2 linked regions of the Chlamydomonas reinhardtii genome follow. The protein of the gene in region 1 interacts with the protein of each later gene in a pairwise test. Links are inferred from orthologs where the notes say so. Each region holds a gene or a part of one and is shown in the gene's direction. Other genes may lie near its edges.

Evidence for each region.
Region 2: the proteins of CHLRE_14g612500v5 (region 1) and CHLRE_01g016950v5 interact in binary tests that used the Arabidopsis thaliana proteins (3 or more experiments, as listed by UniProt). The link is inferred for Chlamydomonas reinhardtii from reciprocal best matches to the Arabidopsis thaliana genes ERA1 and FTA.

Annotation. Positions count from the first base shown.
Region 1 is NC_057017.1:682,086-688,493, forward strand, and holds the start of CHLRE_14g612500v5 (uncharacterized protein), read left to right. Parts: upstream 1-2,110; 5' UTR 2,111-2,177; coding exon 2,178-2,682; intron 2,683-3,052; coding exon 3,053-3,177; intron 3,178-3,489; coding exon 3,490-3,645; intron 3,646-3,892; coding exon 3,893-3,951; intron 3,952-4,203; coding exon 4,204-4,270; intron 4,271-4,470; coding exon 4,471-4,551; intron 4,552-4,782; coding exon 4,783-4,953; intron 4,954-5,272; coding exon 5,273-5,365; intron 5,366-5,777; coding exon 5,778-5,923; intron 5,924-6,082; coding exon 6,083-6,383; 3' UTR 6,384-6,408. Other genes in the region: CHLRE_14g612450v5 (uncharacterized protein), read left to right, coding at 56-201, 404-538, 759-773, 953-1,096. UniProt on the Arabidopsis thaliana protein: Catalyzes the transfer of a farnesyl moiety from farnesyl diphosphate to a cysteine at the fourth position from the C-terminus of several proteins having the C-terminal sequence Cys-aliphatic-aliphatic-X (CaaX).
Region 2 is NC_057004.1:2,829,039-2,835,302, reverse strand, and holds CHLRE_01g016950v5 (uncharacterized protein), read left to right. Parts: upstream 1-2,380; 5' UTR 2,381-2,479; intron 2,480-2,604; 5' UTR 2,605-2,646; intron 2,647-2,800; 5' UTR 2,801-2,861; intron 2,862-3,142; 5' UTR 3,143-3,311; coding exon 3,312-3,568; intron 3,569-3,880; coding exon 3,881-4,007; intron 4,008-4,189; coding exon 4,190-4,294; intron 4,295-4,533; coding exon 4,534-4,700; intron 4,701-4,898; coding exon 4,899-5,253; intron 5,254-5,622; coding exon 5,623-5,739; 3' UTR 5,740-5,896; downstream 5,897-6,264. Other genes in the region: CHLRE_01g017050v5 (uncharacterized protein), read right to left, coding at 353-430, 670-819, 1,242-1,331, 1,476-1,661; CHLRE_01g016900v5 (uncharacterized protein), read left to right, coding at 6,032-6,164. UniProt on the Arabidopsis thaliana protein: Essential subunit of both the farnesyltransferase and the geranylgeranyltransferase complex.

The DNA of each region.
Region 1 (6,408 bases):
GTCGCGTGTACGTGGGGACTGACTGCTGCGGTGTCCTGTGTTGGCGCTTCAACAGGCATGAGCGCTGGCCTGCCCGACTTCGTGGTGGTGAACCTGGATGACCTGGAGAAGCACTTCAACGCTGGCGAGGACGTGACCCTGGCTGCCGTGAAGGAGAAGGTGAAGAGCATCAGCGGCCGCGATGCCTCCCTACCCCTGAAGGTAAGCGTACTTGGCCTAGGCACAAAGGGGCTGACTGGCGGTGGGCCATGTACAACGCAGGCGTCAGGTTGCGAGCCTTTAGGTGCTGGACAGGCAACACTGGGATCGCGGGACATGCATACGGGAATTTCTTCATTTGAAGACCTCGTCAAGCAGGGTTCGTGCTCACATCGTGCTCTCATTCGCTGCATCGTTGCATCAGGTGCTGGGCACTGGCAGCCTGAGCAAGTCGCTGAACGTGCACGCCACCGCTTTCTCGGAGTCTGCCAAGGCTGCCATTGAGGCTGCCGGCGGCAAGGCCGAGGTGCTGGCCGCTAAGACCAAGTGGACCAAGAAGGTGGGCAGGGTGCCGGAATGCGAACTGGGCAAGTGACACAGGTTCTGACTGGGCTTGAGCCAGGATTCGGGCAGGAGGGTTTGATGCTGCACCACGCAGCTTGGAGGCGTGCTGTCCAGCTCTAAGCTGAGTAGTTGAGGGTTCCTGCAATGCCGGCGCTTACGGTTCTGCCCTTCCACCCGTTGCGCTGCATGCTCGTCGTGGCTACGATTGGCCACAGGCGCACAAAGCCCTGGTGAGTTTGCGTGGCGGGACACAGCGTTGGGCTTTGCAGTGTTGGTTGCTCATGCTCTTAGGCTCACAATGCGGGGAAATGGCGTGGCTGCAGCGCATTACGCGGTGGCGTCGGGCTCTGCCTTACCGGGGCCTGGTTCACAAAGGCATTTCTGCTGCTGTCTCTTTATCAAATGCCAGGTCGCGGACATGGCCGCCAAGGGCATGGACTACGAGAAGGAGAAGCTGAAGAAGCGGATTGACAACCTGAAGGCGAAGGGCATGTTCGAGGAGCGCGTGCCCAAGGCGAAGCCCGCCGCTGCCGCTGCTGGCAAGAAGAAGTAAGCGCCTCAAGCGCTTGCGAGTATACACGCATGGCCAGGCCGGCGTTTGCGCAGATCTGAAGGACACGGTTAGCCAATGGCGCTGCACAGCTGGCAGCAGCCGCAGCCGGAGGCGAGCTTGACAGGCGTTGTGCGTTGGCTCGTTCCGCGCCTGAGTGCAGCACGGGTCGGTTTACCATGGGCTCTCAGAACCTAAGGGCCAGCACGTGGTTAGGACCGGCGTCTCTTGACTACCGGTTGCGGTAGGTTGAGGCGGAGAGTCGGCATGTTTGCATGACAGACTGCTTCGCAGGTGGTAGGCGGTGGCAGGCAAGACCCTAGCCCGGCAATTTTGGGATGTGAGCCGAGGGGTTGTGTCTGGGACATGAGTCATGTAAGGTGGGTGACTGGAGGATTTCGTGCGTGGTTCAAGTGTGCAAGGCAAGGTGGTGTCAGGTGTAGACTGAGAGGGTGAGAGGCGTCGCAGTGCGCTGGCGTCGGGGTTACCCTGTAAATTGACAAATACAAAGCCGATGTCTGGAGTCTGCATGCTGGCGTTAGATACCGTAGGCACCGGCTGGCAATGCCAATCCCAAAGCCTGGCAAAGGTGCCCAACGAGGCAACGCCAACCGGCGTGCATCTCAGTGCATCCTGAATGGTGACGCTTTCCACCCTGATCTCGACTATTGGACTACCGTGCTCCAAGTAGGGACCCTCCGGGTTCGAACTCCTTCCAACGCATTGCGGATATGTGGTGGGACCTCGCCAACCTGCCTTGAACCCTGTCCCATCACACACCCTGTTAGGGACAGGGGAGGTCAGGGTGACATGGCGCCAGGCCGCCAGCCATGCACAGCCCGCGCGTGCACCCTACGGGTTCAACTGTGGCTTTCATTGTCTACGAGGAGTGACGTGATCGTGGTGGCGGCGGGCAAAGCAGGCAGGACCGGCACACGCCGGGGCCACGCACGGGAATGAAACGCGGCAGAGCTGCCATTTTACAGGTTAGGCAACTCCGACAGCCACGGACTTGCAGGACTCGTTTCTGCTGTGTAAATGTAGGTAAAGAACTGTAGTATTATCTTGTCAGAAGCCAAGAACGATGTGGGAGGACGGGCTGCCCACGACAACCTCGAAAACACAAAATGCGCTTGAGAAAAAGCTGCTGCCCTTTTACCAGGACCTAGAAGGAATCCAGGACGCTGAGGAGATACATGACTTTTTGGTTCTGCATCGCGAAAACCACGTCGCTTACCTGCACAGCGGGCTTGGCCAGCTGAGCTCTGGCTTTGCGGTGCTGGATGCGAGCCGGACATGGATTGTATACTGGCTGGTCCATTCGCTGGCACTGCTGGGGGCCCCGCTTCCGAAAGATGTGACGGCGGACGATATTGTCGCCTTCCTACAAAGCTGCCAGCATCCGGCGGGAGGTTATGGTGGCGGGCCGATGCAGCTGGCGCATCTGGCGCCCACCTACGCAGCTGTCGCGGCCGCGGTGACTGTAGGCGGGAAGGCGCTGGGGTCCATAGACCGCGCGGCCGTGCGCAGCTTCCTGCTGCGGATGTGCATCCCTCCAGAGCAGGGAGGCGGCTTTAGCGTGCACGAGGGTAAGCGATCAAGTGGGAGGCATTGGGGTGGATCGGAGGGGCTGGCTGGCCAGGCTGGATGGGCAAACCTTGTGTTCCAGTCGCCCATGGGTCACCAGCGCATCACCCAGGTCATGATCAGCCCACCCGCTGCCTCACACGACCCGCCCACCTTCTCATCTCCCCTGTGAAACCCGCGCCCGCCAGCCCTCCATGCACGTCTTTCCAGACCCATGCTTTGTCAGTCCTTCAAACCATCCCGCCCATTCCACGCACGCGGCCTTACCCTGTGCTGCCCTGCCCTGTTCTGCTCCCGCTTCCCCTCCCTCTTCCCCGTGGCCCGTGCTCTCTCCCTCTCCCTCTCCCTCTCGCTCTCGCTCTCGCTCTCCAGGCGGCGAGGGCGACCTGCGCGCCTGCTACACGGCAATGGCGGTGGCGCACATGCTGGGGCTGGACGCGGACAAGCAACAGCTGGCGGCGCGCAGCGGGCTGGCGGGGTACGTCCGCGCGTGCCAGGTGCGTGTGTGTTTGGGGAGGAGGAGCGGGTTGAGGTGCACAGGTAGTCAAGATTTTAGAGCCGGAATGAAGAGGCGGGGGCATGGAAGGGGAGGGGGCGGGGCGGGGCGGAACGCAGGCAGTGGGAGCTGGAAGGTGGGAGGAATGGGGTGCGGCTGCATGCGAGCACGCGCTTTGGCATTGGCGGCCCGCGGCACCGGGCAGTGCCGGAGTGGCGGTGCCGGGGGAGATGATTCCAGTTGACAGCTGCGCTCTTTGGGGATTGCGTGGCACCGTCACACCGCGCACACTGCCCTCCATTGCCACCACCAGACCTACGAGGGTGGGCTGGGCGGTGAGCCGGGCAACGAGGCGCACGGCGGCTACACCTTTTGCGGCGTGGCGGCGTTGGTGCTGGCGGGCGGGCCGGGGCTGCTGGCGGCGACGCTGGACGTGCCGCGCCTGCTACACTGGCTGGTGCACCGCCAGGTGGGGGCGTGGGCGGTCGGTGGAGGTTTGAGGTTGGTGGGGGTGGGGTTGTCTTTATTCTCAGTACGTAATACGAGATGCGGGTGGCGTAGCTGACGGGCCCTGCCGCCCCCCCCCCCCCACACACACACAACGCGTCTGCTATACTACTGTACCTGACTACGCCTTCACTTCTTAATTCCCCCCCCCCACACACACACACACTGCCTCCCTCTGCCGCTTTCTCCCCCATCCCCCGCGCCCCCAGGGCTCCATGGAGGGTGGCTTCAATGGCCGCACCAACAAGCTGGTCGACGGCTGCTACAGGTGCGTGGGGGTGGACACGGGGGCCGAGCGCGGCCGCGGGAGTTGTTGCCATGAGTAGTTGGTCCAATGCCAACGTGAGAGAGGTGACACGGGGCAAGCGGGGGGCACGGGGAGAGGCACAATGGCGCCTTACAAGCGGTCCTGGTGTAGGCAGCACCCTGCAACAGAGGCGAACACATGCATGAAAAGGCAGTTGGTGGCTGTTGGACATTCTGTGATGCTGGTACTGTGATTTTATTTTGGCGGCTGCAGCTTCTGGCAGGGCGGCGTGTTCCCACTGCTGGCTATGCTTTCGCCATCAGCGCTGCGCCCGCCGCCGGTGAGTTGGGTGTCAACATTGAAGGCAGGCAGACGGGGCGGGGAAAGGCGGCTGTGGGCGCGCGGGTAATGCGGGCGACAGTGCAGAACTCTGTGTGCGTTCCTCTCAAAACAACCCCACCTCCAAGCTTGGTTAGCTGCACAATGTTACATGCGTGTGTGTCTTGTGTGTGTATGCGTGCGTCCGCCTGCTTGCTGCAGGTGCCGCAGGACTCCGCAGGTTGGCCGGAGGTGCAGGTGCTGCCGGCGCCAATGATGGGTGCGTCGCCGCCCTTTGAGCTGGTGAGGCCGCGTGCGCAGTCGCGTCATGCACAGTGTGTGTGTGTGAGTTGGGCGTGTCTTGCTTGCGCGTCTTGAGTGGGTGTCACGGTTGTGTTGGTAGGCAGCAATGGGCAATAGCCTTAGCCGCAAATCCTGCCCTGACCACACACATGCAAACGCAAACGCCCTGCTGGTACTGGATATTTACAACAACACGCATACACACGCCTCCGCCAACCCCGCCACCTGCAGGCCGAGGAGGAGATGCACGGGCGCATGCACGCCTACGAAACCCTGCGTGCGCGGGCGCTGGAGGCGAGCGACGTGGCGGACGGCGCGCTCAAGGGTGCGGCAGCGCGGCACAGCGCGGACAAGGCGCGGGCGGCGCGGGAGCTGCTGGACCAGGCAGCCAAGGCGCACGAGGTGGGTGTTCGTGTGTCCGAGTAAAGCGCAAGAGAAGCGCATTGTGGTGTGTGTTGCAGAAGGACGCCGCACAGGGGCTTTCATTCATCATCAGCAACGCCGTGTTGTTGTTCTTGTTGTTGTTGTTGCGCCGCGAAGCATTCCGGTCTTCAGTCAAGCTCTCGTCGCGTCACGCCACGCCGGGGCCTTTAACCTTTCGTGTCACGCGTCACCAGCCGCTTGCGTGGTGCATGATGCCTGGTGCCGCCCCCCCTGCTGACTGCTGCTGCGCCCCATGCCCACTGCCCGCTGCCCCACGCCTCACCTGCTGCCCTGTCAGGCGGGCGAGGCTGCCACCACCCAGATGGCGTGCATCAACGTGTCCGCCTTCAACATCTTCCCGCCGCCCGACCCAGAGATGCTCACCGCGCAGGTGGGCGGCATGGGCAGGTCAAAGCGCTTAGGAATGTGTGCGATGTGCGTGTACTTTTTGAGAGCACATGGTTGAACGGGAACGTGCGGATGTGTGCCTGTGCTCGTTAAACGGGACGACGTAAATGGCGTGGCGAAACACCTTACATGTGTTGTGCGGGTTAGTGCATGAGTTCAGGGGGTAGTGGCAAAGCGTGGTGGCAATGGCCACCTGATACGTTCCCCCAAGCCGCCTCAGACGTGCAGCTTAACTCCTTGGCTAACGTTAGCTTGCAGTTTCCGCACGCCCTGTGCAATTCGTGCGCACGCGCGCAGTGTCGACCCTCTCCCCTCTTGCATTTCCCAACACAGAAGCATTGACCGACATGCATGGTCTTTACGCTTCACTCCTCTGTGTGCTCCTTGACACGCAGGAGCAGCAGTACGCCGCTCACGTTGCCTACGCGGCCGCAGTGGCGGCAGGCGCGCCGCCACAACTGCCCGAGGGCACGGCGCCGCCGCCACCCGCGCCGCCGCCGCCGCTGTGCAACTACGAAGCGCTGCAGCTATGGATCCTCAAGTGAGTGGGCGGGAGGCATGGGCCAGTGGGAGCTATTTTTCACCCTTTGCTTTTGAATCCCCTTGTCCTCCGAACACAAACACACACGCACATGCACTTCGCATTGTTGTTTTCTTAGCATACACGTACCCACTGTTATTTCCTTTCTTTAACACACAGGTGCTGCCAGGCCACCAAGGGCGGCCTGCGCGACAAGCCCGGCAAGCCCGTGGACTTCTATCACACCTGCTACTGCCTCAGCGGCCTGGCGGCGGCGCAGCACGCGCCCGGCGCCGCCGTGCTGGGACCGCGCGAGGCCAACCTGCTGGCGCGCGCCGACCCTGCTGTCAACGTGGTGGATGACAAGCTGACGGCGGCGCGGGCACACTACGCGGCACGGCCGCTGCCGCCGCTGGAGGCGGCCGGCGCGGGTGCGGGAGGGGCGGCTGGGGGCGCAGGCGGCCCGGAGCCGATGACCTGAGGCGGCTGGTAGCTAGGTGTGGGGG
Region 2 (6,264 bases), on another chromosome or scaffold:
CCATTGGCACAGGAGGGGGGCCGGGCGTCCCGGCAAGGCCTGACTGCAATGGCGGCGTACAGGCACGGCGTCGTACAGACTTCAAACTGGCGGGGAGGCGGCCGACTTCGCAGCCGTGCACGCGCCTGGTCAGCCACTGCAAACGACACACCTTGCCGACCCCGCCCCGTGACCCCGCCCCCAGCCCCGCCGTGTGTGTGAGAGCGCACACGCCGCATGTGCCGGGTCCATCACATCAGCTGGCTGTTTCTCGCACCAGCCCAACAGCCCCCAGCCCAACAGCCCCCAGCCCCTGCCCAACAGTTCCCCGCCCCCGCCCCGCCCCAGCCCCGCCCACGCACTCGGCACTCACCAAGCCGCGCACGAGCGACGAGGCGCCGTAGGTCTGCATGAAGTGGGACGTCTCCGCGGACAGCGATCTCCCACTTTTCTGAGGAGCGGGGCGGAGCGGACCCGGGCACAGCGGGCGAATGCGTGAGGCCATGAGCGGCGGCATGCGACCTACTGGCCGCACCCTGCAGTGCCACCCGCTGTACATGATGCGCCACCTCGCTTCCTGAACTACCGCATGCAGGCCCCCGCCCCTGCCACCCACACCTACCGCTGCCCCCGCCACCTCCTCCTGCTCCTCCTCCTCCTCGTGCCTCCTCCCCCTGCCCCCCAAATCACCTGCTGCTGGATGATGATGAGCTCCGAGGGCGAGGCGATGAAGGCCGACACCGCGCCCGCCACGCCCGCGCTGCCGAACCGCTCCAGCGGCGTGAGGTCGGCCTCCGACTTGTTGAGCACCACAGTCTGCATCAGCCGGTTGGTGCCGAACTGCGCGACACACAACACACAACACACGAGACGTGTGCGCACAAACACACCGGGGAGGAGGGGTTCAATGTTGCAACAGCGCAGCGTTTTAGGGGTGGCGGCGGGTTCGGCCAGCCACTGCTTGTGTACCGGCATGTGCACACCCACACGACCCCGACGAGTGTCCGCAGCGCCTGGAGCGCGTGCTGGGGACTGGCGGCTGCGCGACGCGCTGTTCAGCTGGTATGGCGGTGGGCATGCAGTCACAGCCGTACCTACACACACACACACACACACACACACACACACACACACACACACACACACACACACACACACACACACACACACACACACACACACACACACACACACACATACATACACTCCCACCCTCACTCTCGCACACCCACACTCCGTCACACCCAATCACACGCGCGCACCTGTGACGCGGTGATGGGCGCCATGGACACGATGTTCATCAGCAGGCCGCGGTACAGGTGCGCCGGGTGGCGCGGGATGGGCCGGCCCTCCTGCGCGGGGCCGCGGGGAAGCAGCGAGAGGGAGCGAGAGGGGGAGAGAGGGGGAGTGTCGAGGTCGGGAGCCAGATAATACGATTTCCCTATCTTTTTGCTCTTGTTGTCGCGCGCTGATAATGCACACACACGCGCGCGCACCTGCAGCGCGTTCTTGATGCCCACCAGCGGCTGCATGATGCAGACCTCCACGGTGCCGCCCAGCGCCCCGATGGCAGTGTGCTCGGCCGGCGTCACCGTGGACGGCCGCGTCGGCTGGTGCTGGTGCGGCCGCTGCGGCGGCATCAGCTCTTGTGGTGGTTGCTGTTTTTGTGCTGAGGCTGACATGGTTGTGTGCCGGCTGCGGCAACAACGGGCCCGGTCGGCGGGATACCCGGTGCGCCTGGCTGCTGTGACTTAGACGGCTGGGGACGGAGCGAGGCAGGCAAAGACCTTGGCGTTCGCTCGTGGAGGTGCTGCACAAACCTGTGGGGGCAGCAAGGATGCACGGCCAGCGTTGAGCTTGGACGCGTCCGGCCGTCAACGTTCCGCCCGAGTCCCAGTCGGCGGGCGGACGTGGCAGCGAGTGCACTGTAGTGCCGACTGACGCGGAGCTGGCGTCATGCTCTGCCGGAACCTCACACGGCGATAGCACTGGTCGGCTAGCATACACCGACGCGCGGTCGCCCGTGGCGCGGAAGCCCGCATTGCACGGTTGCCCGCCCGGCGACGACTCCCCCGCCAAACAAAGCAACAGACGCCTGAATGCAATTTTGTATTGTCGCTAACACACCTTACCTTGATCACGCCTTCGCCGTCGCAGAACTGGCCTTGTTGCAGGTGCGTGTAAAACGTGTTCGGAGGAAAAGTTGCAAGCAAAGGCTCAGACCCGTTGATTGAACTAGGCTACAAAGAAACTCAAGATACACGGGAGCTAGTTGTCCTGGCTTTTCGTCGCTCGAATTTTGGCTCCGGCATGGGCTGAGTGGATTCAGCTGGTTTCTCAAATCGAGGCCTGACGAAGCCGAAACTCTTGCATTCAGCATTACCTTGCTCCAAAACCGTAATTAAGTGCTTTGAGGCCTGAATGTCGCAGCCGGGCGCCAGAGCGCCACAGTACGCAGCTTACTTTACGCCCACCGCAGTGGCTCCCGTTCCTGGCAAGAGTGAGGAACTTGCACTGCGACTTCTGAAGCGCATCTAGGAGGTTGACGTCAGGGTGCTCCGGAATCACGTCGCGCCCGGGGCAGCCCACTAACACACCCCTTCCTCTCTGCGGTGGCCCCCACAGACCTGTTTGCCGGCACGCAGCAGCCCTCTGCGCACCTGAAAGGTGCAGAAGAGCAGACGTAAACGCCTTGCGGGGTTGCTTCTGGCATCTCCCGCCTTGCTGCAAGAGTCGAGGGGTTGGAGAAGAGGGCGGGGGCGCCGGCGTCCGCGGGATGGCGCCGCCCTCACCAACCGCCCTACCGCCTAAATGCATGCAGAGCTTGTGGCCGAGAACGTTAAGAAGCTCGCGGAGCTGCGGGCGGAGATTAAGAAGGACGAGTAAGTGCTCGGGCACTGCCGGAGCCGCTGCGGCAGCAGTCCAGACTTGGGGCTGTGGCGGCCAGCGGGGCTTTGATGGGAATGTGCCGCTGCGCCGTGTCCTGATGCGCAGTCCTGATGACTGCTGCAGCTGCTGCCATTGTACTTGAACTTTCTTGTTGCTGTCAAGAACATCAGTTTGCGCGTGTCGACAGCTCCGCTCCACCCGCCCTCCGCCATGCGCTCTCATCCCGACCTGCAACCTTCGCGCACCCTGCGCCACCTGACCGTTGCGGGTGCAGCTGGCTGTTTGAGGCGCCGCGCCACACACTGCGATAGGGGCAGGCCCTCACCTTCAACGCAGCCGCCGCTCACGCAGCGCCGCACCTAGCAGCAGCGGGTCAGCACACGCGGACGGCAAGCACGCCTTAGCCGCACAGCCAGCCAAACAGCTTGACAGCACTTGCTCGCATGTCGGGGGGAGGCGCAGCCGCCGCCGCCGCCGGCCCGCTGCCGTACTCCCGGCGGCCGGAGTGGGCGGACGTGACGCCGGTGTCGCTGCCGGCTGCGGAGAAGGTGGTGGCCATCCAGTACACGGCCGAGCACGCCGAGGCGCTGGGGTACTGGCGCGCGGTGCTGCAGTCCGGCGAGCTGAGCGGCCGCGTGCTGGCGCTGACCGCCGACATGATCCGACTCAACCAGGCCGACTACACCGCGTGGCGCGTCAGGTGCGTGCGTGTGCGTGTGTGTGCGTTCGTGTGTGTGCGTGTGCGTGTGCGTGTGCGTGTGCGTGTGCGTGTATGTGTATGTGTTTTCTTTCTTCATGCCAGCGTACACATAGCCAGTGCGCATCCAAGCAAGTGGGTGTGGTTTACCACTTTCCGTGGGAGCGGGCCGAAAGTAAAGGAGTTTATGTTCAGGAGGAAAGCAGAGGGGTGGTGGGTGGCGGGGCGGGGCGGGTTTATGCTTCGGTCCATACTCTGTGCTTGTGTTCTTCTGGCTCCCCCTCCTCCACCTCCCGCGTCGCCCCATCCGCCCAGGTGGCTGTGTGTGCAGCAGCTGGGTGCTGATGCGTTAGGCCCGGAGCTGGACTTCACGCACGGGGTGATGCTGGAGAACGCCAAGAACTACCAGCTGTGGAACCACAGGAGGCTGGTGGCGGGCGCGGTGAGGGAGGAGGGAGGGAGGCAGGGAGGGAGGGAGGGCTGGAGGCAGGCAGCAGTAGCGAGTCTTGCGCGGGAGGGATTAAGGAAAGGAGTGGGTAGTTTCAGGATCAAGTGAATGTGGTGGGAGAGGTGAGGCCCCTCAGTGAGGCCCCTCCCTGTTGGCCTGGTCGCATCCCGTCGTAGATCGGCCCCAGCTGCGCCGCGCGTGAGGACGCCTTCACGCGTGAGGCCATCATCTTTGACGAGAAGAACTACCACGCCTGGGCGCACAGGCAGGCCGTCGTCAAGGTGCGGCGGCGGCAGGAGCGGGGGCAGGGGCAGGAGGAGGGGGAGGGGAGAGGAGAGTGCAGAGGTAGGGGAGGGGGCCTGGCACGAAGGCCTGCAAGGCCTGGCAAGGCAGGGCAGGGCAACTATCCTAAAACATACCAGCCACGTTGCTTTTTCACCACCTTGCAGGCCATTTACTTTGTGCCCCTGGCCCTGTCCAATCAATCTCCGCCACCCTGCCCCCCCTTGCTCATGCCCAGATCACGGGGCTGTGGGAGGCGGAGCTGGCCTTTGCGGACGAGTTCATCGGGCGGGACGTGCGCAACAACACCGCCTGGAACCAGCGCATGTTCGTGTGGAAGGCCATGGGCCAGGAGGCGCGGCTGAGGCTCCAGGGTGGAGGCGACGACGCAGGCTGGCTGCGCAGGTGGGGCGGGCGGGGGCGTGTGGCATGGGGCGAGGGGCGAGGCGAGGGTTGTTTCACCATCTTCTGACCCGCACGCCCCTCAGTCGCCCCATGCCTCGCTCTCATACTTAACCACCACCTCGCTTGTTTCCTGCCCCCGCCTCCTGCCCAACCCCAACCCCCAACCCCCACCCCAACCCGCTGACCCCCACCCCACAGCGAGCTGGAGTACATTGCGGCGGCCGTACAGAAGGCGCCGCGCAACGAGTCGCCCTGGCGCTACCTCACCGGCCTCTTCGCCTCGCTGGAGCCCTGGGCCAGCAGCCCCCGCTCGCTGTCGCGCTGCGCCGAGGTCCACACGCTGTGCTGCGAGGCGCTGAACGACTGCCCCTCCTGCGGCCCCGCCTACGACGTGTTGGCGCTGTTCTATGAGGGGCAGGCGGCGCTGTCGGCGGCGCAGGCGGACACGGCGGCGGCGGCGGCGACGGTGGCGCCGGGGCCGGCGCAGGCGGGCGTGCAGGTGGTGCTGGCGGGGCGCGTGGCGGCGACGATCATGGCATGCGAGTTGGCGCAGGTGGGCGTGGGCGGCTGCGGTGGGGATGAGAGCGCATGGAGGGGCATGGTGGATGACTCTCCCGGGTATGATGAGTGCGTGGGTAACAATCATGGGCGGGAGGTAATGGTGACGGGGCTCATTTAGGAGGCGGGGGTTTGTTGGCGAGGACCGAGGTCACACATGGTTGCTGTTACCGTGGTGGGGTTTACCCTGCTGCAGTACGTGTGGCAGCGCAATACATCGGCAGCGAAGGGACTGCGATAAGCACACGCGAGAGCCCCACACGCCGTGTGACGCGCCGTTCGATCGGCATCTTCTTCTCAATGACTGTCCCAAGCCCGCTCACCTGCACCTGCTGTGGACATTGCTGCTGCCGCCATCATGCAGGCGGCGCTGGACGAGGCGAGTGTGGCCGACCCCATGCGCACACCGTACTGGCTCCACCGCCAGCGCGGATTTAACGATGTGGTGGCCTTAGCCACAGGCGTGCTGCGTTCAGCATGATGGTGCAAGGGCCAGGGGAGCTTGTGGCATGGGGCTCTTGGATGGTAATTGTTGGAGGCAGGTGGTGGAAGTAGGATGGAGAGCGAGAGGGGCGGCGCGGCGCGAAGGAGGGGCAAGCGGGCAGCCGCGGAGGACGTGTGGACCTCATGGGGGATGGCACGGCCACAACCTCCAATCCAATGCCGGGCTTGACACTCGTTTGGTGCGACGTAACTTGTAACAGAGCGGTTGCTTACATACAGTTACTACACTTGATTTGCTTGTTGCTCGCACTTGCTCAACCGATACAAGGATGCAGTCGCTCCGTGTTACCCCCAAGGCCCCTCGCGCCTTCACCAGCAGCGGCCGTCGCTCGGCTGTCAAGTGCCAGGCGTCCATTGTGGAGAAGGCCAAGGCCACTGCTGCCGCTGTGATCCTGTCCGCGGGTGCGTGCATGCAAGCGCAATTTGGCCTGTCGCGTGCAAGCATACCGCATGAGCGCTTGCGCACCTGTCTTGTCTTGTAGAAAGGATATAAATCGCATAA